Diceros bicornis minor: one gene and its partners. The protein of the gene in region 3 interacts with the protein of the main gene of each other region in a pairwise test. Links are inferred from orthologs where the notes say so. Each region holds a gene or a part of one and is shown on either strand. Other genes may lie near its edges.

Region 1 (7,997 bases), on a different chromosome or scaffold from region 3:
TGGCCCTGCCTCCTTCTGGGACCATTTTTTGCCACTTTCTCTCTTTCTTTGTCGCTTCTGATCATTCTGCAGACACACAAAACTCATCTCTACTTTAGGCCCTTCGTACCTACTGGTCCCTCTTTCAGGAATTCTCCACTCTACCAAGCAAGTCCGTCTCTCACTTTTTTGCTTAAGTCCTACTCATCCTTCAGGTCTCAGCTGAGATGTTGTTTTCTCAGGGAAATGTTTCTTGACCCTCTCCCTACCCCTAAACCCATCCCCTATTTCGTTCTCCCTCATAGCATCTTTTACTTTTCCTGCATAGCACTTACCAAAATTGTGGTAAAATAATTTTTTTGTGTATTTAAAGCCCATCTTCCCAAGTAGTCAGAAACCTCCAGGAAAGCAGAAACTCATCTCTCTGTTGATCAGGGTTAGGCACATGGTGGGAGCTCAGTGCATAATTTTGAAGAGATGTAGGTACTCCTGAGTCTTGCGTGGATGTCCTGCCTCTCAAGTTTGACTAGATGTTTCTAGCTAGACGAGATGTTTTCTGGTTAACTGTCTCCTCGCATAGTGCCTGTACTGGGCTCCTATCACAGTTAAGTGCTGACCCTATGCTGTTAGAGAAAGAGAGATGAAAAAGAGAGGAGACCTCTGAGGGGGCTGATTGGAACTCAGATTGCACACTTCCTCGGAGAAAGATTTCTGGGCAGCAGGAGGCTATTTCTAGGCCCCAGGCCAGGGTGTTGAGAAATGCTTTCATTTTTCTGAGAGCTGCTGCCAGGAAGCAGAAAACTGATGAGTGACCTGTGAATGCTGCTCACATTCTGGGTGACTCAGAGTTTATGGTATTCTGGGGAAAACAGTGTTGATCAGAGGGATAGAACATCCATGTAGGGGCTTGGGCAAGAAGTCTGGTGAGAGGCCATCGAAAACCACAGTGGGATGGCCTCTCTTGCCATGCAATGCTGGGGCCGTTCAGCCTGAGTCAAGTTAGAGACCCCAAGCAAGCCCCTCATGGCTCCTCATTGTTTCCTCAGGCTCCCCAACCCTCTCTTAGAAGGTTGTTTCATAGCTGGCATGGCTTGTCTTACCCCTGAAAGTCATGAGGCCAAGTGTCCTATCCTTTTCTTTCTTTTGCATTTAAAAAAAATAATATTTTGTTATAAAAGCAATACATGAATACATTTATCTTCTAAAACATTAAAACTAAAGCTAATACTTCCTTTAAACATCACCCCCAATCTCAGTCCTTTATCCCTATCTTTAGAGATAATCTTTGATATGAGTTGGCATATAGCCTTACAATCTGTTTAAAAAATCTTTTACAAACTTAATGTGTGATTGTCTTAGTTCAGGCTGCCGTAACAGAATTCCATAGACTGGGTGGCCTATAAACAACAGAAATTTATTTCTCACAGTTCTAGAGGCTGGGAAGTCCAAGAGCAAGACACCAGCAGGTGAGGTGTCAGGTGAGGGCCTGCTTCCTGGTTCAGAGACAGCCGTCTTCTTACTATGTCCTCACAGGGCGGAAAGGGCTAGGATGCTCTCTGGGGTCTCTTTTATAAGGGCGCTAATTCCATTTATGAGGGCTCTGCCCTCATGACATAATCACCTCCCAAAAGCCCAACCTCCAAGTACCATCACACTGGGGATTAAGTTTCAACATATGAATTTAGAGGGAACATAAACATTATCTATAGCAGTGATAATAGGAAATAGTGGTATTTATGTCTGTGTTTTAACTTTTTACTTTGAAATAATTTTAGATTTACAGAAGAGTTGCAAAGATAGTATAGAGAGTTTCAGTATATCCTGCTCTCAGTCTCTCCTAATGTTAACAGCTTCTATAAGCCTAGTTCAATAATCAAAACTAAAAAATTAACATTGGTACAATACTATTAACTAAACTAGACTTCATTAGAACTTTACCAGTTTTTCCACTAATGTCTTTTTTCTGTTCCAGGATCACATCCAGGATCCCACATTGCATTTAGTTGTCTTGTCTCCTTAGTCTCCTCTGATCTGTGACGGTTCTCAGTCTTTCCTTGACTTTCAAGACCTTGACACTTTTGAAGAATCCAAGTTAGGTATTTTGTAGAATATCTCTCAATTTGGGTTTGTCTGATGATTTTTCGTGATTAGACTGAAGTTATGCATTTTGGGGAAGAATTTTTTTAAAATATCAAGACTATCTATATAGATCTATATAGATCTATATAGATATATAGATATATATATCATGCTGAAACTTGCTGTTTTCATTCAACAATATGATTTTGAGATAGATCTACATGAACATATAGATCAAGGTCACTTCTTTTAAAATCTCCACAGAATTCTATTATATGAGTATTCTACATTTTATTTAGCCATTCCTCTATTGGTGAGTATTCAGGCTGATTCCAAATTTTCTGTTAGCAATATTGTAGTAATTAACCTTGTACATACCTCCATATGCACATGGAGTTATGGTAGATAACTATAAGTGGCATTGCTGAGACATGGATTTAATAGATGTTGTCCAATTGCCCTCTAAACCTGCTGTGCCACTTTACATTCTTTTGATATTATTAAGCTTGAAAATTGTTGCCAATCTCAGTTTTAATTTTCATTTCCCTGGTTAATACTGAGGTTGGTCATCTTTTTGTGTGTTTATTGGCAATTTGTATTTCCTTTTCTATGAACTGCCTGTTTATATTTTTGCCTATTTTTCTAGTGGAGTTTTTTTTCCTCATTGATTTGTTGAGTCCTTTATATGTTCCAGATACAAATCCTTTGTTTTATATATTACAAATGTTTTTTCCTAGTCTGTTATCTCTTTTTTTTTTTTTAAAGATTTTATTTATTTATTTTTTCCCCCAGAGCCCCAGCAGATAGTTGTATGTCATAGCTGCACATCCTTCTAGTTGCTGTATGTGGGACGCGGCCTCAGCATGGCCGGAGAAGCGGTGCGTCGGTGCACGCCCGGGATCCGAACCCGGGCCGCCAGCAGCGGAGCGCGTGCACTTAACCGCTAAGCCACCGGGGCGGCCCTGTTATCTCTTAACTTTGTTTCCGATTGTTTTCTTTGTTCTATCTCTCAGATTTTTTGAATTATTTTTTTCTGACTTATTTTTTTGAAACAAAGTTCATGATTATAAAAGTAATATAAACAATGTAGAAACTCTGGGAAATTTATGGAAAAGTATAAAGAAGAAAAGAAACCACCCCAAGTCTGATCACTGAGAGAAAACCACTATTAACATACTCAGTACATATTCCCTTCTAGTCTTTTGTGTGTGCATGCACATTTTTGTGCTCAGTTGAGATCACACTGCATACATATATATATTATTTGCTCAGTGCCATGGTCTTTAGAAACAAACCTTGGCCTTTTCCCAAATGCACTTGGTTTAAAGGTGATGTTAGACTAACTTCCAACTCCTATTCCTTTTTTCCACATATCCTGAAAAATGTAGTACGTGAGAGGCCCATGGCCTGTCCTCTACTGACCTGAACTGAAGTTGGCTCAAAAACACAAGAGAGAGTACAAATGCTCCAGCAGAGCACTTATTAAAAAGTCTTAGAGGGGCTGGCCTGGTGGCGTAGCGGTTAAGTTCACGCACTCCCCTTCAGCAGCCCAGGGTTCGCCGGTTGGGATCCTGGGCGTGGACCTACTCACTGCTCATCAAGCCACGCTGAGATGGCGTCCCACATAAAAGAGCTACAACTCTACAACTATGATATACAACTATGTACTGGGGCATTGAGGAGAAAAAAGGAAAAAAAGAGGAAGATTGGCAACAGATGTTAGCACAGGGCCAATCTTCCTCAAAAAATAAAAGTCTTGGAGGTTTTAGTTGACTGCAAGCTCAATGAATCAATAGTGCCAAGGTGCCAAGAACCTTAGTGCATGAATGCAAGGCAATAAGTCCTATAAGGAGGAAGCTACAGTCCTGCTTTGCTCTGATGGTACCACAAACATTTGGTTCAGTCTTGGGTGACATACTCTAAAGGAGCCACAATCAAACCAACTAGGTACTTGAGGAGAATGAGGACAAAGACCCTCAAAACCAGGGCAAAGGAGGAACAATGGAAGGAATGGGAGATACTGGTCTCAAATAAGAGAAGACCTTAGGCAGAAGTCAAGTATCTGAAAAGTAGAAGTTGGAAGAGACATTAGACCTGGTTGTTCTCTGAGGCTCCAAGGGATAGGACTTGGGCCAGAGAGGGGAAGCTTCAGAAACACTTGCTAACTCGTCAGAAGCTGCTGAGACCAAGGAATGCATTGCTTCGTAAATAGTGGGCTTTCTGTCACTGAGGAGTCTTCTTTTAGACAGGAGTTGGTGGCGGGTGGGTGCCGGGTCCATACAGTAACTAACATTTATTGAGTACTATGTGCCAGGACTGTGCTGAGGACCTTCCCTCTATTTTATTTCATCCTGTCAACACTCTATGGGGTAGGAATTGGGTAGAATGAGGTCAGGTAACCTGCCTAAGGTCACACAATTTGTGAGTGGCAGAACTGGGATTCGAATCCGTTCTGACAAACTCCAAAGCCAGTACTTTCAGTCATCAATGGGATTCATGCGTCGTATGGGGGTCTGGACCAGAAGGGCCTTGAGGTCCGTTCGACTAGAAGATTCTGTGACTCGGAAAAATGATGTCCCCACCCCGCTAAGGGAAAGCGTCGGAGTGTAGGCGGAGAAGCAAGCGCGGTGAGGTAGTAACGGGCCTCGCGGAGGGGCCCGGGCAGGAGGCCAAGGGATGGAGACTTAAAGGACACGGAAGGGTTGTCAACGTGCGTCACCCCACAGCTCGACAACAACCGATGTTCTGTTGTTTGAAGATCCTCGCGCGAGGGACCGAGACGCAGGCCTGTATCGCGGCTCCCTTCTGGTAGCGCAGCCAGGGAGTGTCGCGGCGGCAGGGTTCTGCGGCGGAGCCGGGGGACGGAACGGCGCGCCGATCCCTGGCCGGGCGCGAGCGGGGGGCGGCGCCGGGGTGGCGGGGGCGGGGAAGGCGCGCGCCGGCGGCTGCGGCAGTTGCGCGCTGGGATTGCTGCCGTGCGGCGGGGTCGGTGAGTGCGGCGGGCCCTGCGGGTGGGGTGGAAGGAGCGGGCGAGCGAACGAGGGAGGGAGGGTGCGCGGCCGAGCGCGCGACCTGGGCAGGGGCCGCGGCCTGTCCCCGCTGCGGCCCCACCCGGCTGCTGCGCCCCTCAGGCCCCTCTCCTCCCTCCGGGCGCGTACCTGCGCGCCCGCGGACTCCGCGCCCGCGTCTCTGCACGCCCCGGGTCGCCCCCGCCTCAGAGCAGCCCCTTCCTGCGCGCCGCGGCGACGCCCCCAGCCCCACGTCACGCCCCCGCCATTGTTTCCCGCTGTGGGCTCGCTGGGACCCGCCTCATCCTAGGAACGCGGCCCTTCGCCTCCGCAGAGCCAGCCTCGCCGCGTTCCGCCCATTCCCCCGCCTTTCTCTTACGCTGGGGCAGCCCCCCTCCCGCCTCAGGCGGACACCCCTTTACTGAGGTCTGCGTGTTTTTTTCCGGCCGACTGCGGGCTTCCTGCGCTCCGCACCCGGGGCCCGCCTTTCTGCCCCTCCCATGGGCCTCCCCACCCCCTGCGTGTTCCCGGTACAGCGTGAGGAACTAGCGGGCGGCTGTGGTAGGATGCAACGGTGACAGCGGTTTAGCAGGAGCCACAGGAAATTGCCAACTTGATAGCCCACATGCCAGTTTTGTGTTTTCAGCGCTTTCTGGAAAACTCACGTGGAATTGCAAGCCTCACCCAAAAACCTGCTTGTTATTTCCAAATGGCTCTCGAGCTGACAGGGGTCAGCTGTCTGGTGGCAGTCTATTCCTTCCCTTTCCTTCTCCTGGGGACCCCTGAAGCCGGTGAGAGCCGAGAGTGATGCAGATCTGAGGCCTGAACCATTAGTTGTAAACAGAACGTTTGAGGGGTTTGACTCCGGTAGAGGTCAGCTCGGTGTCAGATTTAGTTTTCCCGTGCGTGTGTTGCGGGATGTAGGTAGAGTACAGCGCTCTGCAATGACTAGTCACCATTCTAGGGTAGTGTGTATGCGCGCGCATATGCGGGTCCGGATGCGGACAGGTTCTTCTGGATTGAACTGTACTTGTTTTATAACGTCTACACACTGTTCATTATGCTTCTTAAAGCAGCGGATGCAAACTCTGCTAACTGTAATGTGAAAGGGAGAATACTGAAACCATGGAAACGTAATGTTATTGAGGTCTTTTTAAATATTTGCCGCGACACTTCAACAATAGTTAGAATTTATCCAGATGAAGACATCCAGGCCTGAAGAGGTTAAGTTTAAGAAGACACAGCTAGTTAGTGGTTAGAACTCCACATGTTGGGTTGATGTTAACACACACAGACTTTATTTCTGAAATGCACTTCCATTGCAGTATAAGCCACTACTTTTCAGCAGTATAGGTTGGCGCATTTACTCTCGGTAATCTAAAATTTAGATTTTTGGAATTTAGTAATCAACTAATCTGTTAAATGAAAGGGCTGAAGGAGATGTTCTGCAACGTTTCATTCAGTTCTAAGATTTGATTCCGTTGTATGAAAATTTGCAATCAGCTACGAGTTTCCAAAAGTTTATAGTTGGAAGATTTATAGATATTTACGTATGGTATCTGCGAGCCGTGGTGGTGACATCAGGTGTATCTTCCTAAAGAAAGCCAAATTACAGTGGAATATTGAGGAGGGATGTCCATTCATCTGTTTCTAGTCTGTTTCTACTCTTTTATGGGGGAAGAAAGGAGCACACAAGACATGGTTTATGAAAAATAACTTCTTTTTATTCCTCAACTCGCTTACCAAAAAGCTTAAGTTAATGAAATTGTAAAAAAAAAAAAAAACAAAAAAAAACCCGACCTAATCATATTGTATTTATGACTGTGCTCTTTTCCAGTTCTTATCTAACCATAATTTTTATGTAGTTATAATTGCTGTTTAAAATTAACAACATATTGTTTTTAGTTTTGCACTTACCCACATTTCTGGAATGTTCATGTATCTAGAGAATTCATCTACTTTTCATTTGTAGAGACTGTGTAACATGCTTTTATGTCCAGTAGTCAACAATGCCTGGCACACAGGTCCTCAGTAAATTTTAGTTGAATGAATGTAGTATTTTGAACTACTTAGACAACATCTACAAACACAAAATGTTAAATATCACAGAGCATATGTTAAGTGACATGTGAGCAGTAAAGGCAGTCAGTCTTTGAGCCAGGAGACAGCATCACATATGTTTAAGGGCCTAGGTTTTGGAGTCTGGGTTTGGTTTGAGACCTGGCTTGCCACTTAACCATCCATGCAACCTTGGAGAACTTAACCGTAACTTAGAGAGTCTCATTCAGTTTCTCTCACCATGAAAAAGGGGAAAATAGAACACATTTCACGAGGTTGTGTGGATTAAATGGGATAATTCCGTTGAAGCACTACTGGCATATCTTAAGTTCTCTATAAATGTTAGCTATTACTGCTTTTGGTTCAGAGTGGAGAGATTACTGTATGTTGTGGGATCAGGGAAAACATAGAGAAGGTGACACTTCAGAGTAGGGAGAAGATGTGAAAGTGCGTATGTTGCGAGTTTAATGAATAGATTGCTCTCACTAAAACAAAGGGTTTGGTAGAGCCAATCGTGTGAGATAAAGCTAGGGAGAGTAATTCTGGTAAACTGTGTACAAGATATGCTACAGATAGAGCAGAATTAATGAAGTAAGATAGCTTTTTGTTTTTGAGTAGTTGGTGTTTGTTTTGTTTGTTTTTTAGGTTCAGACCTGAAAAATTATTGGCTTTAAAGAAGTTGATAGCAAATTGTTATGGAGTGCTAAGGTGTTTGTCATTTGACACAGTAAATCTTATGACTTTTTACCATTTGCAGTTCGATTGTGTTCTATGATTGGTTACCAAAGTTTGCAGTGGCTGTTTCTCCTTTTTTCTTTTCTTTTTATGGAAAACAACTTTAGCAGCAAACGAATAAAAATAGCAAAATTGCCA
Region 2 (6,960 bases), on a different chromosome or scaffold from region 3:
GCTCAGTCCTCCTCCAGCGCCCCACTCTGACTCCCTCCCCGCACCGGCCCAGCCTCTCCAACTCCCTCCTCCCCTCCGCAGAGACTTTGAAGCCAGGACCTCATGGAGTGAAATGTCACCAGTGGTGGTGGCAGCAGCTGCCTCAGCCAAGGGGGTCTCTGCCGCAGGAGGCCCAGTGGCTGCCCTGGTGTCACGTGTCACCTTCCCCCGGGGAGTGCGGGACCCTGGCCTCCCACTCACCTGCTTGGTCCCCTGCTAACCTGCCCCAACACTCCTCCTTTGCCAGCCTCTGTCCCACCAGTGTGTGGAGTGGGCCCCGCCCCGGGCACAGCCCTGCCTCTCCTCTTCTCTCCCCTCACCTCCCTGGGGATCTCATCCGCAGACGGCGCAGTCTACTCGCCTATGCTGACGGCATCCTCTGCCCCTTCGCTCTCAAAGGAGAGTGGTGTCCAAATCACAATGGGCAGGGCCCGGTCCCTGACCTCAGAGCCACCCGAGGCCCCTCCTCCCTCCTCCATCCACCACACTCATCTCTCGGGCGACTCGCACCGAATTAGGCTAAAGCTGGGCTCCAGATGACCTCCCCCCAGACCCTCTGCCCCCAAATACACCACCACCACCCAACTGCCCTGGCCTAAATCTCCAACTCCTTCATTTCTCTCTCCAGTATCCCCACAGCTAGTCCTTTCTCAAGAGCCATCAATGGAAACTAGACTTTGGGTGGTGAACACTGTGCAGTCTATACAGAAGCTGAAATATAATGTACACCTGAAATTTACACAGTGTTCTAAACCAGTGTGACCTCAGTGAAAAAAAACCCATTAGATCAACCTTCAGATTAGGTTCTCAATCTAGTCACTTCTCTCGAGCCCTGTTGGTACCACCTTGGGCCCACCGCCCCACCCTCTCCGCTCCCCTGGACCAGAGCAATAGCCTCCGCCCTCGTCTCCCCTGTCCCGCCCACCCTTCCCCGTTCTCCTCAAGGCAGCCAGTGGCATCTGATAGAAAATAAATCACATCATAACATGGATGAAACTGGAAGACATTATGCTCAGTGAAATAAGCCAGAAACAAAATGACAGATAATATATGATTCCACTCATATGAAGTCGCTAGAGGGGTCACATGTGTAGCAACGAGAAGTAGAACGGTGGGTGCTGGGGAGAGGGGAACAGGTCATGTTTGAGGGGGACAGAGTTTCTGTCTGGGATGATGAAAAGTTCTGTGGATGGAGGCAGTTGCACAACAATGTGAATGTTCGAAATACCACTGAACCGTGCGCTTAAAAATGGTTATGGTGGTGAATTTTGTTATGTATATTTTACTGCAATAAAAAAAATTGGAAAAAAAAATCAGAGTCTCTCAGGCCCTTTTTAAACCTCTCCAGTGGTCTCCCAGCCACTTATTTATTTATTTATTTTTGTGAGGAAGACTAGCCCTGAGCTAACATCCAATGCCAATCCTCTTTTTTTTTTTGCTGAGGAAGATTGGCGCTGGGCTAACATCTGTGTCCATCTTCCTCTACCTTATATGGGACACTGCCACAGCATGGCTTGACAAGCAGTGCGTTGGTGCGCGCCCGGGATCCGAACCTGTGAACCCTGGGCCACCCCAGCGGAATGCATGCACTTAACCCCTGTGCCACCGGGCCGGCCCCTCCCAGCCACTTAGAATAAAGCCCACCCTCCTTACTACAGCCCCCAGGGTCCTGCATGGTCTGGCACCTTCTGCCTGGTCTGAATTCATTTCTTTGTTTTTTTCCTTGTGAGGAAGATCAGCCCTGAGCTAACATCTGTTGCCAATCCTCCTCTTTTTACTGAGGAAGACTGACCCTGAGCTAACATCCGTGCCCAACTTCCTCCACTTTATACGGGACGCTGCCACAGCATGGCCTGACAAGCGGTGCATCGGTGCGCGCCCGGGATCCGAACCTCGGGCCCCTGCAGTGGAGCGCGCGCACTTAACTGCTACGCCACCTGGCCGGCCCCTGAATTCATTTCTAACCAGCCTCTCCCTCCTTCATTCTTCCTGGATCACCCCGAGGCCCCTGTGTGCATTCATTCATTCGTTCAGTTATTCAGCGTATTTGCAAGATTCCAATATGTGCCCGGCACTGCAGAGTAAAAGAAATAGCAGTGAAGCCAGACCTAATCCTGCCCTCATGGGGCTGCCAGTCAGGGAGGGACGGACAACACCAAACACAACGTATGAAGTGCTATGAAAGACAACCAAAGCAAGGTAAGGGCGAGTGTGGGTGGTCAGGGCAGGCCTCCTGGAGGAGGTGACATTTGGACGGAGGCCCAGAGGAGGAGGAGGGGAAGCGGGTGTTCCAGGCAGAGAGAGCAGCAGGTGCCTCGTCCCTTGGTCAGGAAATAGCTTGTGGGTTCTAGAACAGCGAGGGGTCGGTGTAGCTGGAGAGGAGTGAGCGAGGGCAAGTGGTGGGAGATGAGGGCAGGGAAGGGAGTGCCCTCACAGGCCACAGTGAAGAGCCTGGAGTTTACTCCTAGCGGGAAGCCACCCTTAGAAGGTTTCAACAAGGAACGACACATCTGACTGCTGTTTCGCAAGCTCTCTGGACACAGCTGGGGAAGGGACTGGAGGGAAGGAAGCCCAGCGTGGAGGCCGTGGGGATGAAGAAAAGCACCTGGATGCAAATACAGAATCATCATGCTGTGCACCTGAAACTAAAATAATGTTCTGTCAATTATATCTTAATTTAAAAAAAAGAAGAAGAAAAGCACCTAGAACTTCTAGGTAAAACTTGGTGGACGTGTTGGGGGATGGATGTCATGTGCAGAAAGGGAGACATCAAACTCAACTCCCCAGTTTTCACCCTCGTAGATGAGTGGAGTGTAGGGCTATCTGCTGAGATGTGAAGACTCCAGGGAGATCAGGGTTAGGTGGAGAGAGAACTGAGATGGCGAGTTTGAGATCCAAGTGGATGTTCTGCTCCTTCAACTAAGTAGGCTCATTTCCAGCCTCAGGGCCTTTGCACTGGCTGTTCTCTCTCCCAATGGGGGGTGGCAGGGGAATGGCCTCCCCCAGATCTTCACATAGGGGCCTTTCTTGGCGCTCTGGCCTTGGCTTAAATGTCACCTCCTTGATATCCTTCCCCAACCACCTGTCCCTCCAACTAAGGCCACCAATCCCTCCATTCACCTCCACCCTCAAGACTCTACATCATCCTGTTTAAATTCGGAAAAGCAGTTACCACTGTTGTTAAATTTCTATTTCCCCAAACTGTAGGCCCCAGCGGGGCAGCGTCAGCACCTCATTCACTGCTAAACGGCAGCACCCAGCTCAGGGTCCAACGTATAGTACAGACTCCATAAATGTAGAGTGAGTGATTAATTGGGTCCCCTATGGACCAGATCCCGTGCACTGTTAGGAGGACCCATGAGATACACACCTCACCCCCAAGGATCTCAGTCTTGCTGGAGGGAAAGAGATGTCAGCCCTGGATCCCAGAAGAGATCCCTTACCCAGAGGAATGTCAGGGAAGGCTTCCCAAAGGAGGTGACAGCTGCAGCTGCCGGAAGAAGGAAGACCAGAGGGTTATGCCCCATGTCGAGGCCCTGGAGACGCGAGGCACGAACAGGGATCACTATTCCATTGACAAGAGGTGCTCAGAGGCAGAAACTCTCTGACACTGCCTGACGACTCAAATCCTGACCAAGGGCGATATCTAAGAACCCATCCTCTCTCCTGGAGGGGACAGAAAAGAACGGGCAAGCGCCGCGCAACGCGGTAGATCTCCAACAGGCGGCAGTAAAAGCAGGAATCTTCATTCATCTGAGGCTGAGAACACGCGAAAGAGGGAATCATGGCTCCTCGCGGCCTCCGTATTACGGAACATGAGCGCAAAGATGGCCGCCCCCTCAGGCTAAGGGCATCAGAGGGTCATGTGACTAGGCAACTTCCGATCCCTCTCCGCAGGTTTTCCAGAGCCCTACTTCCTGCGCTCTCGTGGAGAAGGGCGTGCCAGGGCTTAGTGCGTCTCGAGGCCGCCGGAGGCCCGGCCTGGGGCGGCTCTGATCGGGGAGTGCGATCGCAGGGGCATGGAGGGTCCCCAGGAGGGGAAGGCGCCTGCGGCGGCGCTGGCCGCCGTGCTGAAGCACAGCTCGGCTCTGCCGTCCGAGAGCGCCCAGGTCCGGGGCTACGACTTCAACCGCGGCGTGGACTACCGAGCGCTGCTGGAGGCCTTCGGCACCACTGGTTTCCAGGCCACCAACTTCGGGCGCGCGGTGCAGCAAGTCAACGCCATGGTGAGCCCTGGGGCGGGACTTTTTGGGTTGACGGGGGCGTGGCCTCCAGTAGCGCCAATGCTGTACTTGCAGGGGGCGGAGCTTCCACGGGAGAAGGAGGCGTGCCCTTCGCTGGGCTGTCCAGTAGTTGGAGAGGGGCGGGGCCTACCCTGGCGGGAGTTTCTGTGCTGGGGAGGGGGCGTTGCCCCCTAGTAGGTATATCCTAGTATCCGGAGGGTATGGAGACTGATTCTAGGTACCGGGCAGGTTTTAGGCAACGTGGGAAAGTGCTGTGGAGTGGGCGGAGCCTGGGACAAGACCGTGTGGTTGAGGGAGGAATTGGGGGAGGAGCCGAAATCAGGGCGGGGCCTGAGTTGGATTTGCTCTTCCCAGCGGGAAAGGGGGTCGGGTCTCCAAAGGTGATGCTCTCGGATTCCTGAAACGGGGCAAAGCCTGAGCGTGAGCCCTGAGATTCGGGCTGTGAAGGGGCGGAGCCTGCACAGGGGCGTTCATTCCCTGGTTCCTCGTAGACGTGGTCCTGTATCCCCTAGTGGGCAGGGCTTGGCGGCGGAGCTGAAACCCACCTGGAGTTTTTGGGCTGGACTTTGGAGTTCACTCGACCTTCTTCTGACACCTAGATAGAGAAGAAACTGGAGCCGCTGTCGCAGGATGAGGACCAGCATGCAGACCTGACCCAGAGCCGCCGCCCACTCACTGGCTGCACCATTTTCCTGGGCTACACTTCCAACCTCATCAGTTCAGGCATCCGTGAGACCATCCGTTACCTCGTGCAGCACAACATGGTGGGCACCCGGTGGGGCTGTGACCTTGGCCTCTTTGGGTCTTAATGGGCAGTAAGATTATTGGTCATTTAAGGGAGATAGGGAGATATGCGTCAGCAGAGGGACAGGATGGGGTTTTGCTTTGTGGCAGAGCACCTCCCAAGGGTCACTGGAGGGTTGGGAGTTAGGAGTCCTGCCCTGCATGAGGGCAGGGCTCCCCTTCCTGGGCCAACCTCACTGCCTTGTGGCTGCAGGTGGACGTCTTAGTGACTACAGCTGGGGGCGTGGAGGAGGATCTCATCAAGTGCCTGGCACCCACGTACCTGGGCGAGTTCAGCCTCAGGGGGAAGGAGCTACGTGAGAACGGGATCAACAGGTGGGGGGCGCCCTGAGTGGTGCTGGGTGTGGGAGCTGGGCTGAGGGTCCTGGGGCCTGACGCCCACATGCCTCCTGTCTCCAGGATCGGAAACCTGCTGGTGCCCAATGACAATTACTGCAAGTTTGAGGACTGGCTGATGCCCATTCTGGACCAGATGGTGTTGGAGCAGAACACAGAGGTGGGGCTGGAGCAACCGGGGGGGGGGGGGCGCTGGCATGGTGGGAGTCAGGGGAGGTGCTGCTGGCTGAAGCTGATGTCCCCTTCTAGGGTGTGAAGTGGACGCCTTCCAAGATGATCGCCCGGCTTGGCAAGGAGATCAACAACCCAGAGTCGGTGTATTACTGGGCCCAAAAGGTGAGGGGCTGGGTGAGGGCAAAGATGCCAGGCCTCGGCATGTGTGGTTTTATCTTGACAGCCATATGGGGAGTCAGTACTATTCTCATCATCCCCACTCTTAGATGAGGAACGTCAGACAGAGAGAGGTTAGGCAGTTTGTCTGAAGTCCCACAGCTCTCGAGTGTGGTCCTGGTATCCTGGCTCTACTCCCAGGCCACCTGGGAGCAGCCAGGGTGGTGCTTAGCAACCCCCATGTGGTGGGGACCAGGCTGCCTCCACCAGGCTCTGAGCTCCGGCCGCTGTCTTGTCCTGCCCTCCAGAACCACATCCCCGTGTTGAGCCCGGCGCTTACAGATGGCTCGCTAGGCGACATGATCTTCTTCCATTCCTACAAGAACCCAGGCCTGGTCCTGGACATTGTTGAGGGTGAGGCGCTGGGGCTGCAGAGGAGTGGGGGAGGAGGGTTGCTGGGCCCGCGGCCTGACCGCAGCCTTCTTCCCCCAGACCTGAAGCTCATCAACACACAGGCCATCTTCGCCAAGCGTTCCGGGATGATCATCCTGGGTGGGGGCGTGGTCAAGCACCACATCGCCAACGCCAACCTCATGGTGAGCGGGATGAGCGTGCGCCTGGTCCCCAGCGGGGGCGGTACGTGGCCCTGCCCTGCAGACATGCCCTTGCGTTCAGCCTGTGCCATGTCTCCACGGAGACAGCCGTGACTAGACAGGCCTGGATCCCTGCCCTCTTGGGACTGATGTTCTCGTCAGGGAGACAGACAGCAAACAAGTGACATGCACATCAGGTGGCAGTAACTGCTATGGAAAAAATGAAGGATGACGAGGTGGCAAGAGAAAGGGGTGCTGTTCAAAAACGAGCAGCTCTCCTGCGAAATGTGACCTGTGAGCAGAGGATTTCAGGAGGTGCCTCCCACGGGCCATGTGGTTATCTCGGGGATGAGCTCCCAGCAGAGGGAACAGCCAGCGTAGAGGCTCTGAGGTGCCCAAAGAAGGTCAAGCAACAGCTAGGGGTCCAGTGAAGAGGAGAATGGGAGGAGGTGAGATGGGGAGGTGACCCGCCTTGAGGGCTACTCAGGTGCTCACTGGCGCCCTCTGGCGGCTGTGGGGAAACAAATGGCGGGGCCATGTTGGGGAGAGGTGGTTAGGTTTGGAGGTCTTCTGATGACAGCCTTGGTGGTAGCTCCTGCTGAGTAGATGCAGGA
Region 3 (7,426 bases):
AGGCTGCCCCATCTCTCCTGTCGGACCTCACCTGGAGCACCCGGAGGGTGGCCCAAGAGAGCCCTTGCCCAGCCGTCTGCCCTCAGTGTCCCAGGCCCACCACCCCGCCCTGGACTGAACATGCTGCCCGACTGCTGCCAGCCCTTCCCCACCCCAGGGCCCTCTGGTGTGGCTCTGCCCGCTCCCCTGCCCTTGTCCATCTCAGCCCAGCACGCTCCGACCCTTGTTATACCCAATTGTTTCTGCGGTGGTTCAGGGGATGTTTTTTTATGAAATAAAATTTTTTATTATAAATGTAATATACTTTCAGAACATTCAGGAAATAAGAAAAAAATCACCTGTAAGCCCACTTCCACTCACCCCCAACCCAACCACTATTAGTATTTGGTGTACTTCCTTCTAGCATTTTCTCCAAGGAGCTGACTTACGCACAGTTGAGCCGGTGTGTTTGTACTTGGTTCTTCCTTTAACACTGTGTTGTGATCATTTGCTGTGTTGCTACCTGACTTTCATTTTAAACAGCTGCTTATATTCCATAAGTGGCTTTCCTGTGATTTATGTAATCATCCCCCATTAAAAAAAAAAAATTAGGTTTCTTCATTGTTTGCAAAGCTGGGTTATTTTCATTTTTTGATGGGATAGAAAAAAAAGAAAAAAGAAAAAATTAAGGACCTGCTACACTTCACCGTGCCGCTGTTTCCATCTAACTGATCTCCTTTCTCCCCTTATCATTATGTTGAGGTAGATACCATTTATTTCCATTTTACAGAAGAAGAAACAGTCAGGCAGGGATTAAGTGAGTCACCCAAGGTCACACAGCAATTTTAGTGGCAAAATTGGGATTTGGACCAAGTTTCCTGCGTCGAGCCACCTCATTTACAGTATCGTCTTCCTGCTTAATGGACTCTGCAGACGGGCCTGCTGGCCTCTCTGTCCTCCTCCTTCCAAAGGAGGCACTACACAGCTGGTCAGGTTCCAAGTGGCCCTGAGTGACCCATCCCTACCCACACTTCACCTTACAGAGCTATGTCCTGGTGTCACCCCAGAACTCCAAACATGGGGTCCTTCCTGTGGGAAGATGGGGATGGCCCAGTCACTGCACCTCTCTCTTCCCCACAAGACCTCTCTGCTGCCTCCCCTTGCATGGTGGGTCACAGCACCCTCGAGGGCACACTGCAAACATCAGGTGGACCAAATGTTCCAGGACTGGACCTGGTAATGAAGCCAGTCCCGGTGGGGACTGACCCTCAGGCTCAGCTTGGGGCACTTGGTGGCATTCTTCCTCATGGAGGCACGACTGGCTCCCCGCCGTCCAGCCTGCCCCTCGGGCCTCTGCTTCTCCCAGCACCCCCGCTGTCCACCTTCAGCTCCAGCCCCTCTCACCGGCCTGGATATCACAGAGGCGCATCCCTCAGAGCTAGACGTGACCTCAGGGTGGGTATGTCCAACGCTGCCTTCTTCTTATAAAGTACATTTTTTAGACCTTTTATTTAGAAATGATTTTAGATTTACAGTCAAATCACAAAGAAGTACAGAAGGTTCCCAATTACCCTTCATCCAGGTTCCTCTCCTGTTAACATCTTACATACCACAGCACAGAGATCAAAACTGAGACATTGATATCGATGCAACACTGTTAACTAGGCGAGGGACTTTACTGGGATTTCGCCAGTTTTCCACTCATGTCCTTGTCCTGTTTCAGGATCCACCAGTGCCTGCATTTTACAGATGGCCTAGAGGGTAGATGGGGTTCCCCCAAGGTCACTCACACAGCCAGCTTGTGGCGGCAGAGCGCAGGCTGAAGCTAGACTCCTTTCCCTTGCACATTGGGCTACTGCGCTCGTCACTCTTCCTGCTTCGTCAGGGGCCAGGGCTTGCTGCTCCGTAAGCGACTCCAGCTCACAGACACTTGTGCCTCATGCTGTCCGCCAGCCCCTGACCCTGTTCCCAAGGTTGCCTACACTGCCCTCCTGCACATGTGCTCACTCGCACACGCGTGTCCCCAGGCCCTGGCACGGCTGGCTCAGGCTTCGCTCCCGTGGGTGCTGGGAGTGGTACTGCGTGGTCCACCAGTTCAGCCACTCCTGTCCACCGCCTGCGCGGCCACCCCCAAAGCCAGTGCACGTCCCTCTCTGGGAATGGAGGACGCAGAGCAAACTTGACGGAGGCCTTCCTTTGTTTCTGGTTCTGGAGGTTTCTATCGCAGCTTCTCCCCACTCCAGCTTTTCCTGTTCTGTCTCAGGCACTCTTGTCTCAGTGTGGTATGTGTGATCCTCCACTGCCTTGAGAAGGTCTACTTTCTGTCGTCTCCCTCAGCGCTCCGGCAAAGGCTAGGCACACCCCTCGAGGCCCCTCTGCCTGTGCAGCCCTGCACAGTTTACAAGTGGCTTTCATGTCGCCTCATGTGCAGGATCACCACTTAAGAGAAGAGGAGCGCTTTTCCAGTGACGGGGGGAGTGGAGCCGCCGTTTATTGCCTCTTTGCTCTTCCGGGCAGGCAAGCTGTCTGCTGTTCATCTTAGGCTGCCTCTGAGGCTCTCAGAGCCCTGTCCAGACATGACCTCACTCCCTCTCAAATCATCCCCAGGAGGCAGAAAGGAGTCTGGGACCAATGCTGTCCCCACTTCACAGATGGGAAAACCGAGGGACACACACACACAGCAAATGCACTGACAAGTTGCTCTGCAGTCCTGCGGTCCTGACCTTCAGCCCTGTGAGTTCAGTTGTTTTGGGAGGTGAGAGGTGTTGGATAGGGTTGGAGTCAGCAATGTTCACCAAGTGCCTCAAAAGAGTGTCGGCCCACGGGGGATACCCCCAGCCTAATACCAGCCCTGCCTCCAGGGACTTGCAGTCAGTTCAGTACGTGAAAAGGGCCTGAAGGGGCTGACCCGGTGTGGCTGGAATTACTGAGAGTACAGTCTAGTTCCACGGCGGCCCTGCAGGCAGATTTCAAGAAAGTGGGTCTTTGTGTGGTAGCAACAAGTGCCGTGGCTAGAAAGGCCCAGCCTGGAGGGTTGCTGGGCTGCCTGGTGATGGACCCATGCTGGACAGTCCACAGAGCTCCTCCTGTGATGTCTCATCTTCCCAACAACCGTGGGAAGGAACAGCTGTTATGAACCTACTCTACAGATGAGGAAGCTGAGACCCACAACTTGCCCAGGGCACAGAGACAGCCAGGGAGCAGTTGCCAGGCAGCTGGCCCCAAGTCCAATGCTTTGCTCCACAAGCTGCTGTCCCCCAGAAGGGAGGTGCACAAAGCCAGAGAGAAATGAGGGACCTAACAGGATGAGAAAGCCAGACTTTGCTGGCTTAACAGTTTCACTCCAGCTGGCCCTGCCTTCCTGTCCTGAGCAGAGGTTAAAGGAAACTGCGGAGGAAAGGTCAGGCTGGGAGAGAAGCAGGAGCTCGCCAAAACAACCCACACCCTGCTCTCAATGCGCCAGGCCTGCAAACTAGGTGTAGGGGCAGCAAAGAGAAAGGAGCAGGACCGCCCTGCCCTACAAACGCTCTCAGCCCGCAGGGGAGAGGGCCCGAAAACTGCGTGGGAAATGCAGCGGGCAGGGGGCCGGAACACCGACGACGCAGGGCTGGGCCTGTGGATTCCAGGCCCTCTCTCTGCCCCAAATCCCCTCCTCCCATCGCCAGCCACACCCTGACCATCCCAGGCCCGCTCCTTCCCTCCTCTGAGCGCCTATCACACCCCTGCCCAAACCCATCGTTTAGCACTTGGCTTATTAACCCTCAGATGACTTTTTATTGTATGTCAAGGTCCACCTCCCCGACTAGATCAGAATCTCCTCTAAGGCAGAAGCTTGTCCTCCCTGTCACTGTGACATTGAGTACATTTTTGTGAAGGAAGAAGGTTATCTGAGAAGTGATCATTTCGGGCAATGCAGTGGTATGTTTAGGACAGAAGTTGGACAGCGGACCCAAGCCGCCGCCCCAGGCCTCCGCGACGTCATCGGGCTTGTGACGTCACTGTCGTTGGCCTCGGCGGCGCTCCGCAGCCTGCAGGCGGGATGACGTCACCGTCGGAACCGGTGCAGACGAGTGCGCGCTGGAAGAATCAGCGAGGCTGGCGGCTGGAGATGGCCGGGGAGGGAGCGGGTAGGGAGCGACCGACAGAAAGCAGAAGCCGAGCCGAGTCCACTCTCCCCGGGCCGCGCGCCTGCCCCACAGTACGGCCTGGCTCCGCCCCGCCCCGCCCGACGCGGGCCAGCCAATCCGGGCGGGCGGCGGACACGCGCAGCCTGTCAGCGGCGGGCTCGCGGGCGCTTCCGCGTTCGCCTACGCCGGCCTGCTCTCGGGGAGGGGGCGCGGGCGGCCGGCCGAGCGCTCGTCCACGTCCCGCCCCGCCCCGCCCCGCCCCGCCCCGCCCCGCCCCGCCCCGCCCGGCCGGCGGTCTGCAGGCCCGGGCGGCCGCTCCCAGGGGACCGATGGCTTCGGAGGGCCTGGCAGGGGCGCTGGCGGCGGTGCTGGCGGGCCGGGGCCTGCGCGTGCAGGGCTGTGACTCGGGGCCGGCCGGGGAGCCCCTGGCGCCGGCGCGGCTGCGGAAGAACGTCTGCTACGTGGTGCTGGCGGTGTTCCTCAATGAGCAGGTGAGCGTCCGCCGCCGGCCGCCGCCCGGGCCCCGCAGCGCGCAGCTCGCCGGCGGGCCAGAGGACCCCCCCCCCCCCCCCCCCCGGCCACGCCACCGCCTTCTCGTGGGTGGCGCTTCCCAGTTTTGCAAAGCACTCTCACTTACGCACACATCTTGTGAGGCCCAGCCCTGCGATTGTTCCCTTATACAGAGGAGGAAACTGAGGCCCGGAAGCCTTTTTGTCCCATCCCACTAGGCCTCAGTTCCTTGAGGGGAGGGCTGTCTTATTTTTATTCCTCTTCCTTTCCCCAGAATCTAGCGCAGTGCCCCCTGCGGAGTGGGCTCTCAAAGATCTGTCCAGTGCTTCAGAGACTCCCCTGGGTCCCATGGACAGTAATGGCACAACCCGCGCTTACGCTCAGACTTTCTGACCACCTTGTGATGCTCTTTTTGGTGCTGATCCCTGTACAAGTTGCTGGAACAACAAACAGCTAGACGGGGCCAGGGCCATAAGTAGGAGTTGTATGGGTAGGGGCTGGGGGCGCGTTCCAAAGGCTAGACCCCAGTGTGGGGACCAGCCGCAAGCAGTTTGTAAACCACGGGGGAGGTGAGAGATACACAGTGACACATGCAGACACAAATCTGTGCAGGACACATGGCAGCCTCACTGTGGGGCCTGATTCCCAGCCCCTGAAGCAGCTCCCAGGAGTCCCAGCCCCTTTCTGAGATGGAAGTCTGAATGCAAAGAGGGATGAATTGCAGAGAGAGACAGCTGCAGCTCCCAGCCACACAAGGGCCAGTCCCCTGGAGAACTCAACAATTTGAGGGTGTCCACTGGGAGGGGGTTATTGGGCGACTGTATCTGAGATACAATCCGGCCCCAGGGCAAGGGAAGGCTGCTGGCTGTGCTGCTCCTCTGGAATCCCCAGCCTGGCTGTGGTGGGGTTGAGGATCCTCTCTCTCCCCTCAGGATGAGGTGCTACTGATCCAGGAGGCCAAGAAAGAGTGCCGTGGGTCGTGGTACCTACCCGCAGGGAGAATGGAGCCCGGGGAGACCATCGTGGAGGCGCTGCAGCGGGAGGTGAAGGAGGAGGCCGGGCTGCACTGCGAGCCCCTGACATTGCTGTCTGTGGAGGAGCGGGGCACTGCCTGGATCCGCTTTGTGTTCCTCGCTCGCCCCACAGGTACGGCCCAACAGGGGGCAATTGACACCTTTCCCCCAGCATGTCTACCGGTGAGATGAGCCCCTATTCTGGCTGATAGAAGCCTGGCATCTCCAGATTCCAGCCTGAGGACTTGACTGGGCTCCCCGCTCCCCTGGGTCAGAGCTAGAATGCCTGGGTGGCATTTGCTCTGCCAGGCCCAGCACTTCTCTCAACATAGACCCTTCCCCCACCCCATGCCCCACATCTCCCCCAGGTGGAATTCTCAAAACTTCTGAGGAGGCAGATGCAGAATCCCTGCAGGCTGGCTGGTACCCACGAACCTCCCTGCCCACTCCGCTGCGGGCCCATGACATTCTGCACCTGGTAGAGCTAGCTGCCCAGTATCGCCAGCAAGCCAGGCATCCTCTTGTTCTGCCCCAAGAGCTTCCCTGCAGTCTGGTCTGCCAGCGGCTCGTGGCTACCTTTACCAGTGTCCAGACAGTGTGGGTGCTGGTGGGCACAGTGGGGATGCCTCACCTGCCCATCACTGCCTGTGGCTTCACCCCCATGGAGCAGAGAGGTGGCATCAAGATGGCTGTCCTGCGGCTGCTGCAGGAGTGTCTGACCCTGCACCACTTGGCAGTGGAGACCAAGGGGCTGCTTGGACTGCAGCACCTGGGAAAAGACCATACAGATGGCGTCTGCCTGGATGTGCTGGTGACAGTGGCTTTTCGCAATCCAGGCATCCAAAACGAGCCCCCGAAGGTGCGGGGTGAGAGCTTCTTTTGGTGGAAGGTGATGGAGGAAGACCTACAAAGCCAGCTCTTACAGAGGCTTCAGGAATCATCTGTCGTGCCAGTCAACAGATAGGAAGGTGCCGTCACTGGGCAAGGAGCTGGGCATCTGTGCTCCTCTCCGCCACGGCTTTGCCTCCCTCTGAGGAAGGCAGGAGGTTGGCAGTCAGGGATCTTGTTGCATTGGGAGCAGGGTAGTTCTCCTGGCTCTCAGGGGCACTTCCATCTCTCCTCACTGTGGAGCAGGTCCCTACATTGTACGAAAAGAGACAGTGCCTTTCACCAAGCAAGGAGTCCAGAGCTCAAGGACCCAATTGCCCTGAGGGCACTACTCCCTAAGGGGATGTGAGAACTTTCTGAACCTGAGATGGCATCTACTCATCATCTTCTGTGCCCACCCGCCTTGGTAAAGCTCCACATCTGGGGTCTCAGGCACTTAAGACATGGAGAGGATGCTGGGGGAGGTCTTTCCAAGGGAGTGGGCCCCTTGCTGAGTAAATAGGTGTTCCTTACTTTGCCTTCCCGCCTAAATGTCTCTGTGGGGAAGAAGTGAGCAGGCAGGGGTACTGAAAAGCTCCTCCCCTTGTCCCACCAACAGCTATTCAGGCCTTCCCAGGTGGCAAGCTGCCATGCAGGTGATGGGGCAGGCAGGCTTCCTGCCCCAGCCCCCTGCGGCTCCCTTCGTCTTGCCTGCCAAGGAGGGATGTGAGCACGTCCTCAGAGAAAACAGAACTCTAGTCCCTCCAAGGTTTGAGCAGTGAGGCCAGGAGAAGCTTCCAGTGGGCAAGGAGCGGTGAGAGCTGCCCCTGCCTCTCTGCTGGAGTCTCTCTCCTTGAGCTTCTCCCATGATCCCTTCCCAGTCACTCTGCCAGCCCCCAGGCTCCTGCTTCTGCCTTTCTACAACTCCAG
Region 4 (7,456 bases), on a different chromosome or scaffold from region 3:
GCCAAGTACATTTTAATTTATCTAAAACAATAGAATCAGAGAGTAAAAATTCTAAATTAGTAGAGGGAAAAGTGAAATAATAGAATTAATTAAAATAAAATTAATAATAAAACTATAAAATTTAAAAGAAGGCAAGAATGGGTAAAAAGAAATGCAGAACATCTGGAAAGAATCCAAATTAAGATAAAGTTAAGTCTATCATGGAGCTTACATGCTAGTGGAGGAAACATACAACTAACAAGCAAAACCAATAAATAAGTAATTTCATGTAGCAGTACATGCTGTGAAGAAAATCAAATAGGGTCAGGCATTAGGTGGCGCCTGGGAGAAGACTGTTTTCAGATAAGGGAAGATCTGAGAGAAAGAGAGAGGAAGCAAGACTCCAAGGTTTCTGTCTTGAGCAAGAAGAGAGGTTGAGAAGAGGAGACTGAGAAGAGGCAGTCAGTGAGGCAGGAGGAAAACCAGGGTGTGGGCTGCTGAAGAAGTGTTTCAACAAGGAGGGCATGATCAACTGGGAATCTAGGAATGCCTGGTTAATTTACGGCAAACATCTTTCCCAGACCTGAAGAACACAGCTGGCAGCAGGCTCAGTAGGCAGAAGAGTTACCATAGTCTCAACAAACACATATAAGCCTACAGACCAGAGTGGCTAAGTACAGGGAATCTGAAGCCAGACTACCTGAAGTTGAATGCTGACTCCATCTCTTTCTAGTTGTGAGCTGTGTGATCTTGGACAAATTATTTAAGCTCTCTGTGCTTTGGTTTCCCCATCTGTATAATGGGGATAATTTGGCACTTGTTTCCTCTGGTTGTTGTGATTAAATAAATTAGTATTTATAAAGCACTTAGAACACAGCTGGCATAAAGTAATCAACATGTCCTTGTTAAAAAAAGAGAGAGAAAAAGCCCTACAACGGCAAAGGTAGGAGCGACAACTTTGCTTGTAAAGTACCAACTTGCATTCTCAACAGGTTCAAGTTGGCAATAGTCTTACGTAATTGAACTAATCAGCATGACTGATACGATAATTATATTCTGATCAAGAAACAGCATGAAATAAACTATGGTTGGATTATGTCTAGTTCTTTTTTACTGTAGTATCTTGAATTTAAGGTATATTTTCATATCAAGTTATATTTCAATTGTCATAATGAATGTCCTATTAAATGCTTACTGGTTCAGAACTCTAACCTCTTACTCTTTTCCAGTTGGATTATGCCCTTTTCTCTTTTCAATCTAAAACAACCTCAGATGAAAAATAACAATAATAAACACTTTCTGTATCTACATTAACAGAAGAAATAGCTGAATACTTTATTGGTGCTAGACATTATAAGGATCCAAATAAATAATTTTTGTGTAAAACACTGAAGTAGGTGCTTTGAAGTATTCATAAAAGTTTATAACTCTTATTAACATGAGACAATTACACAATGGGAGTATATGGCTAATGAACGATATAGTAAGTGTTATAAGATAAGACAAGGCAGAGCTCACTACTGGTTGTAAAGGAGTTACATGAATGAAGTGAGATTTTTATCTGGGTCTGGGTAAATGGAGTCATTACTGTCATTACATTTTAAGATATGCAAGGACTCAATTTATCTATAAGGTGAACTTCCTTAGGAAACTACTAGAGAAAGCACTTCAGCAAAATGAGGGAGTAAACCAAGTTGAAGATACTAGATCCATAAAACCAGGGCTCCAATACAAGAGAGGGACAAAGGGAAGTCCCAGGATGACAGTAATTCAGCAGGACTGGAGGGTTACTGCACAGATTGGAGCAAAAGACTAGAGGAGAGAGGGAGGGGAAAAATGGAACTGATAGGGGTTTTGATGTGTTTCATTTGATGTGAGAGATGTTTGAGGTATTGGATCCATTGGAGCATTTGGAAAAAAACAAGCAATAGACGAATTAAAAACACCATCACTAACAAAGAAAAGGGAAAAACAAGGCAATTATTAACTTGAGGCAGACAAGTGTGAAAAAAGGAAATAATCATATCACATTACTTAATTCAGCAGTGAATGATATTTACAGTCATGATAAAGTAAATACTAACTGCCGACTTATCCAAAAACCATTACAAACAATTTGCAGAATGGGGTAGAGAGAGGGGTAAGAGGCTTAATCCTCAACTACTCTAATTCAGAAGATAATTTCTATGCCCTTTTTTTAAAAAAAGCAACATATAATTTAGAAACAGGGAGGTAAATTCCAGTAGAAAGAGCCAAAGAAAGTTGGAAGTATTGCTCCTGAGGAGTGAGACTTCGGGTAGGGCAGTGATGGAGTGGTAGGGCAGGGACTGCTGTGTTTCATTGTAGGCCTTGAAAAAGCATTATATAGAAAAAACCTTTGATTAAAAATTAAAGGAGTGGACAGAAAAATCAAGACTTTGAAAAGCAATCATATACAGGGGCCTAGTGGAATAGGCAATAAGAACTCTATCATTCATTCACATAACAAATATTTATCAGGCACCATTCTAAGCCAGGCACTAAGCTAGGCCCCAGGAATACAACGGTGAATGAAGACCTATACGGTCCCTACCGTCATGGAGCTAATGTCTACTAGAGCAAACAGACAATGAACAAGAAAATAAATACATAAAGGAAGCACAGATTGTAGTAATAAGCGGTGTGAACAGAAAAAAATTAATTATTGTGATGGAAAATGGTGGTGAGGGGAAGACAGGGCAGCTACTTCAGTTAAATACAGGGAAGGCCTTTCTGAGATGAGCTGAGACTTGAAACACATGGAGCTTACACCAAGGAAGGATGTGTATAGACTCCTAGGCAGCAAAGTCTGGTGGGTCTAGAAACTTAGATGGCTCTAGATGAGGTTGGAGAAGTAGCAGGGCCCAGATCATATCGCTACAGAAACAAATTTGGGGAGTCCTTAAGGTATAGATAATATTTAAAGCCATGTGTAAATAGAGCATAACCCATAACCTCATCTAGAGGAATTCTAACATGTAAGAGTAAGAGACTGAAAAGGTGGGGCCTGAAAGGAAAGGCACAGCAAGGAAGTCTAAAAACTTCCCCAACAATTCCCTAACATTTTTGTCACTTTTCTAAAACTGCCCTATAGGTTGTTATTTAGATAAAGTGCATTACAATTTAGTTTCCAGAGTTTTGCGTCAGTTCTGGAGATACTTATATCCTGGAAAAACCAATTTACAATTATCTAGAAAGTTATTTCCTCTTCTCCACTTGAAGTTATACCAGCGTGGCCCAGCATCTTTGTCCGAATCATAGCCACGGGGTCACCCTCTGTGCTTCTGTGGGGTGATCCGAAATAGTGCTAGGATTTCAACCGAGTTGTCATCGCGGTTATCCGGAAGACGCTACCCCCCCGCCCCACTTTAAGAGTAAACAATACACCGTATTGCAGTGTCGGTGTAGTAAGGAAATGGAACAGGTTGCCATGCCCGCTGCCTAGGGCGGAGCACGGAGCGCAGTGCCTGTCACCGGCAACGTGATGCGGTTCCGCTGCTTTGGGGAACCCAAAGATTAGAATCTGGGGAGTCATGGCGGCGGGCGGCGCTGCGCCAGGTAAATCAGCAGAGGGGCAGGGCCCGGGTCTCGCGGGTAGTCTCAGAAAACGGGGGCCAGAAAACAGATGGGAGTCCAGGGAGGGAGGGAGGGAGGGAGGCAGAGGCAGCCGGAGGCGGCGGCGAGATTCGGGACACAAAGCGCCCTCCCGGAGGCCCGGCCTGCTCCGGTCCGAGGGCGGCCGACGCACCGCCTCCGCGCGCCCCCGGGCGTCGGCCGTTACTGCTTCCGAGGTCACTTCACCCGGGCACGTCTTTGGGACGCAGACACGCCACGCGCCTGCAGCAGGGGACGAGCCAACCAGCTGGCAAACCTCGAGGCGAATGACGCCGCTCCGTCTATTGCTCCGCTCAGTGTTTACAGACGCGCGCGGGGCACGGCCGAGAGCCCAGGAAGCTTGGCTCTCCCGGCCAGGCCCGCCCGTCGCCCCCGCCTCGCTGCTCGGGGCGCCCCGGCCGCCGTCCAGCGCTCGCAGCCGGAGCCGAGGCTGCCGCGGTGCCAGTAACATTGGGGCCCGGGCTGGAGGAACACAATGCCAGGGCGTGGGGAGGCTGCGACCGCGGCCGCTGTCCCCGCGCCTGCCTCGAGCTCTGGGAGGGGGCGGGCGACAGAGCGGACCCGCCCCGCGCTTGGGCGATGGGGAAGCTGGGAGGGCGCGCAGCCCATAGGGCGCGGGAGCCGGTCCATTCGGGCTCCCTCAGGGGGCTGGGGGGTTTCTATGGTGTGTGTTTGGGGGGGCACCCAAGCTGCCCCCCTGCGTTGGACCCGTGCGCTGAGTTTGGAAAGGTTAAAAAGGCTCGGTAGTTTCCCACCCAAAATCTGCTTTCTGAGAAGGGTTTCCAGCCCCTAATTTGAATCCCGCCTCCCCTCTCAGCCACAACTGTGGGTTCGTCCAAGAGGCGGTTGGGGGTGGGGCGAGAGTTACTGGCGCGAAATTTAAAGGTTTGTGTGTTCCCGCGGTTGTGCTCACGCTGCGCTCTCTTGTTCCCTTTGCTATGCCCTGCTCTGAAGAGGCCCGCGCCATCACCCCCAGCAAGCGGGCCCGGCCTGCAGAGGGGAGCGGCATGCGGCTCCGGTTTACCCGACTCTCGGAGCATGCCACTGCCCCGACCAAGGGGTCCGCGCGGGCCGCCGGCTATGACCTGTACAGGTGAGTAAGGCCCGCCGGCCGCCTGCGCCCCCCAGGGAGGCCAGCCTGGTGAAGAGGCTGAGAGGGCCGCCTTCTGCCCCTGCCATCCCTGCCCCCCGCGGGAACGCCCAATTCCCGAGTTACAGAGCTCTCAGCCCTGTTAGCTTACTTTCAGGCCCTCTGCAGCCACAACTTGAAACATTCTCTTCAAAGGTGACAGAAACAAACGCTTTTTGCATGTATGCAGGGTTTCTGCCCTTTTTTTGTATAGATAATTTTAGCTTGCCTCCAGCATAAATTCATTAGGGATTTGGGCAAAAAGTGTGGAATGGTAAATAAATACCGATAAATGTCCACTGAGGCGTTATTAGTTTTGCAGCATTCATTGTACCCTTTCCACGTGGAGGGCGGAGATGAGTAAGGCCCGCCTTGGCCTTCAAGGACTGGCCTGACCGTGATGCTGTGCCCAATAGAAAGAAAAGCCACGGTGGGACCCTGGGGGCTGAGTGAAAATACCTCAGAAGGAGTAATGAGGGCTGATTCTGCCTTAAAGGGTTAGTGACATTTCTGTAACTGTCCATATTCAAGTTCGCCCCAAGGACTGGGAATTTCAGGAAGGGTCCAAATATGAAAAGCAGAGGTGTTGGTAATACTACCACCCTTTCGTTTGTACGGCACCTTTTCCTGTACTAAGAACTTTCCCATATACCATTTTATTTAATTCTCCCCACAATCCTGAGGTATATGAGTGTTGCTTACTTTTTACAGATTAGGGAGTTTGGGAAAAGCTGAATTGATTGCCCAAGGGCTTGAATGTAGTAGAGGTTTTTTTTGTTTTGTTCTTTTTGGTGAGGAAGATCAGCCCTGAGCTAACATCCATCACCAATCCTCCTCTTTTTGCTGAGGAAGATTGGCCCTGAGCTAACATCTGTGCCCATCTTCCTCTACTTTATATGGGACGCCGCCACAGCATGGCTTGACAAGCGGTGCATCGGTGTGCGCCCAGGATCCGAACCTGCAAATCCTCGGGCCGCCGCAGCAGAGCGCCCACACCTAACCGCTGCACCACCAGGCCGGCCCCTGAGATAGAGTTTTTGACTCTGAATTCAATGCTTTTTTCTCTTGACTACTGTGCCCGGTTCTTAGATGCATCAAGGTAGGTGAAAAGTGATAATGGAGGGAGAGGACGTTTATTACATGACTAAATCCCGAGTGTTAGGGTGTATTTTAAAGCATCCTAGGTAATTCTAATGTGAGAACTACTGGTCTAAGTCATAAGTACAGGAGAAGGGGAGAAAGGAGTGTGATGATAGTAAGGGAGACAAGAAAGAGAAAATTGAGATACAGGCTGTTGTAGCTGAAAGGGATATAGTTCAGTCCCTTAATTTTCATGAATAAACGTAGCGTGATGTAACTTGATTACACCATATCTGGGCACTTTTGTGAGTCTTAGGATCCTGAGACTTCGATTTAAGGTGCTTTAAGCATCCTCCTAATAAAACACAGGTGCCTTTCTGTATACTGAAATAGACATGGAAATAGGTATTTTTAAATCTTTAAATTTGATCTTTTTAAAAAATTAGGTTTAACTACTTGGAGAAAATTCTAACAAAATAAGTAAAAATATAGTACCGCTTTTACTAGTCTTAATTAGGGTCTCCACAGTAACTTCCAGTTCTGCTTTTTGTAAAATCTCTTACATTTCTGTCAAGGAGGGGGCTACAGTAATAGCAACAGTAGCAGCATTGGCTGGGTGGACCTTAGAGAATTGGTTCCTCAGCAGTGTCCATCTCCAGTGATTCAGTGATCGCCTCTCTTCCTCAGCCAGTGAGGTTCATGGGCACAGCGTGGTAAGCTTGGGAAACTACCAGACCAGCAGAGCAGATGCAACACAGCTCTCCCTCCCCTTATGTTGTCCACCCATTTTCCCCTTTCCTTCTCCACATTTTCCCTAATCGCTTAGAGGATTGTGAGAATGAAATGAGTTATAGAAAGCAGTTAGGGCTGTGCCTGGCAGGCACATGGTCAGGGCTTAATGAATGTTAGCTATTATTAACAATTATTTACACTCTTTCTTGGTTCTTTATCTCCCTCTTTTCATACCATGCTGGTGAAACATACACCTTTTAAAAGTCTGCCTTTCTACCCTCTCCTGCTAAATAATTACCTCAATTTCCCAAGAAAATTTTGTTCGGGGGAGAATACATTTATGTGTTAACACCTTGTTCACCCAAAAAATTCACAGAGAATTGCTGTAGCTAACTACCAGTTATTTTCTTTCACTGTCTTCCTAGTGCCTATGATTATACAGTACCACCTATGGAGAAAGCCCTTGTGAAAACCGACATTCAGATAGCTCTTCCCTCTGGGTGTTACGGAAGAGTAGGTAAGTGATTTAAGACACAGGTACCTATTTGTCAGGCTCTTCCTTGGTGATATGCTCCTTCATCGTAGTTTCATTTGGGGTGTAAATGAGGGAAGGGATATCTCTCGGCCTGTGTCCTAAAATAAAGAATTGCCATCTGATGGCGAATGCAGCCGTTTGAAAACTTTCATTTATGTATCTGCTTTTGCCTGTCTCTTTGCTTTTTTTTCTGATTCCTTACTTGAGCTTTTAGGAGCTCACATTGGCCTAGGAGGTTGTTCTCACAACTCCTCACTGTGAGAAAGACTGAAAATATAGGCGATTTTTAACGGGAGCTTTGTTTGCAGTGTTACTGCCATCTTGCACTTCAAGGATCGGATTGCATATGAAGTCAGATTTCTTTGTGA

What was found.
Region 1: the proteins of NUDT18 (region 3) and NT5C2 interact in binary tests that used the Homo sapiens proteins (3 or more experiments, as listed by UniProt). The two-hybrid records come from large-scale screens. The link is inferred for Diceros bicornis minor from reciprocal best matches to the Homo sapiens genes NUDT18 and NT5C2.
Region 2: the proteins of NUDT18 (region 3) and DHPS interact in binary tests that used the Homo sapiens proteins (3 or more experiments, as listed by UniProt). The two-hybrid records come from large-scale screens. The link is inferred for Diceros bicornis minor from reciprocal best matches to the Homo sapiens genes NUDT18 and DHPS.
Region 4: the proteins of NUDT18 (region 3) and DUT interact in binary tests that used the Homo sapiens proteins (3 or more experiments, as listed by UniProt). The two-hybrid records come from large-scale screens. The link is inferred for Diceros bicornis minor from reciprocal best matches to the Homo sapiens genes NUDT18 and DUT.

The regions. Positions count from the first base shown.
Region 1 is NC_080745.1:68,104,747-68,112,743, reverse strand, and holds the start of NT5C2 (cytosolic purine 5'-nucleotidase), read left to right. Parts: upstream 1-4,984; 5' UTR 4,985-5,047; intron 5,048-7,997. UniProt on the Homo sapiens protein: Broad specificity cytosolic 5'-nucleotidase that catalyzes the dephosphorylation of 6-hydroxypurine nucleoside 5'-monophosphates.
Region 2 is NC_080769.1:4,634,882-4,641,841, forward strand, and holds the start of DHPS (deoxyhypusine synthase), read left to right. Parts: upstream 1-3,956; 5' UTR 3,957-4,058; coding exon 4,059-4,265; intron 4,266-4,828; coding exon of another isoform or gene 4,829-4,882; coding exon 4,883-5,047; intron 5,048-5,280; coding exon 5,281-5,402; intron 5,403-5,486; coding exon 5,487-5,583; intron 5,584-5,672; coding exon 5,673-5,759; intron 5,760-6,061; coding exon 6,062-6,167; intron 6,168-6,245; coding exon 6,246-6,349; intron 6,350-6,960. Other genes in the region: GNG14 (putative guanine nucleotide-binding protein G(I)/G(S)/G(O) subunit gamma-14), read right to left, coding at 4,829-4,927. UniProt on the Homo sapiens protein: Catalyzes the NAD-dependent oxidative cleavage of spermidine and the subsequent transfer of the butylamine moiety of spermidine to the epsilon-amino group of a critical lysine residue of the eIF-5A precursor protein to form the intermediate deoxyhypusine residue.
Region 3 is NC_080750.1:71,743,402-71,750,827, forward strand, and holds the start of NUDT18 (8-oxo-dGDP phosphatase NUDT18), read left to right. Parts: upstream 1-4,424; 5' UTR 4,425-4,435; coding exon 4,436-4,597; intron 4,598-5,548; coding exon 5,549-5,762; intron 5,763-5,997; coding exon 5,998-6,593; 3' UTR 6,594-7,426. UniProt on the Homo sapiens protein: Mediates the hydrolysis of oxidized nucleoside diphosphate derivatives. Hydrolyzes 8-oxo-7,8-dihydroguanine (8-oxo-Gua)-containing deoxyribo- and ribonucleoside diphosphates to the monophosphates. Hydrolyzes 8-oxo-dGDP and 8-oxo-GDP with the same efficiencies.
Region 4 is NC_080744.1:44,889,645-44,897,100, forward strand, and holds the start of DUT (deoxyuridine 5'-triphosphate nucleotidohydrolase, mitochondrial), read left to right. Parts: upstream 1-4,449; 5' UTR 4,450-4,550; coding exon 4,551-4,705; intron 4,706-6,978; coding exon 6,979-7,070; intron 7,071-7,456. UniProt on the Homo sapiens protein: Catalyzes the cleavage of 2'-deoxyuridine 5'-triphosphate (dUTP) into 2'-deoxyuridine 5'-monophosphate (dUMP) and inorganic pyrophosphate and through its action efficiently prevents uracil misincorporation into DNA and at the same time provides dUMP, the substrate for de novo thymidylate biosynthesis.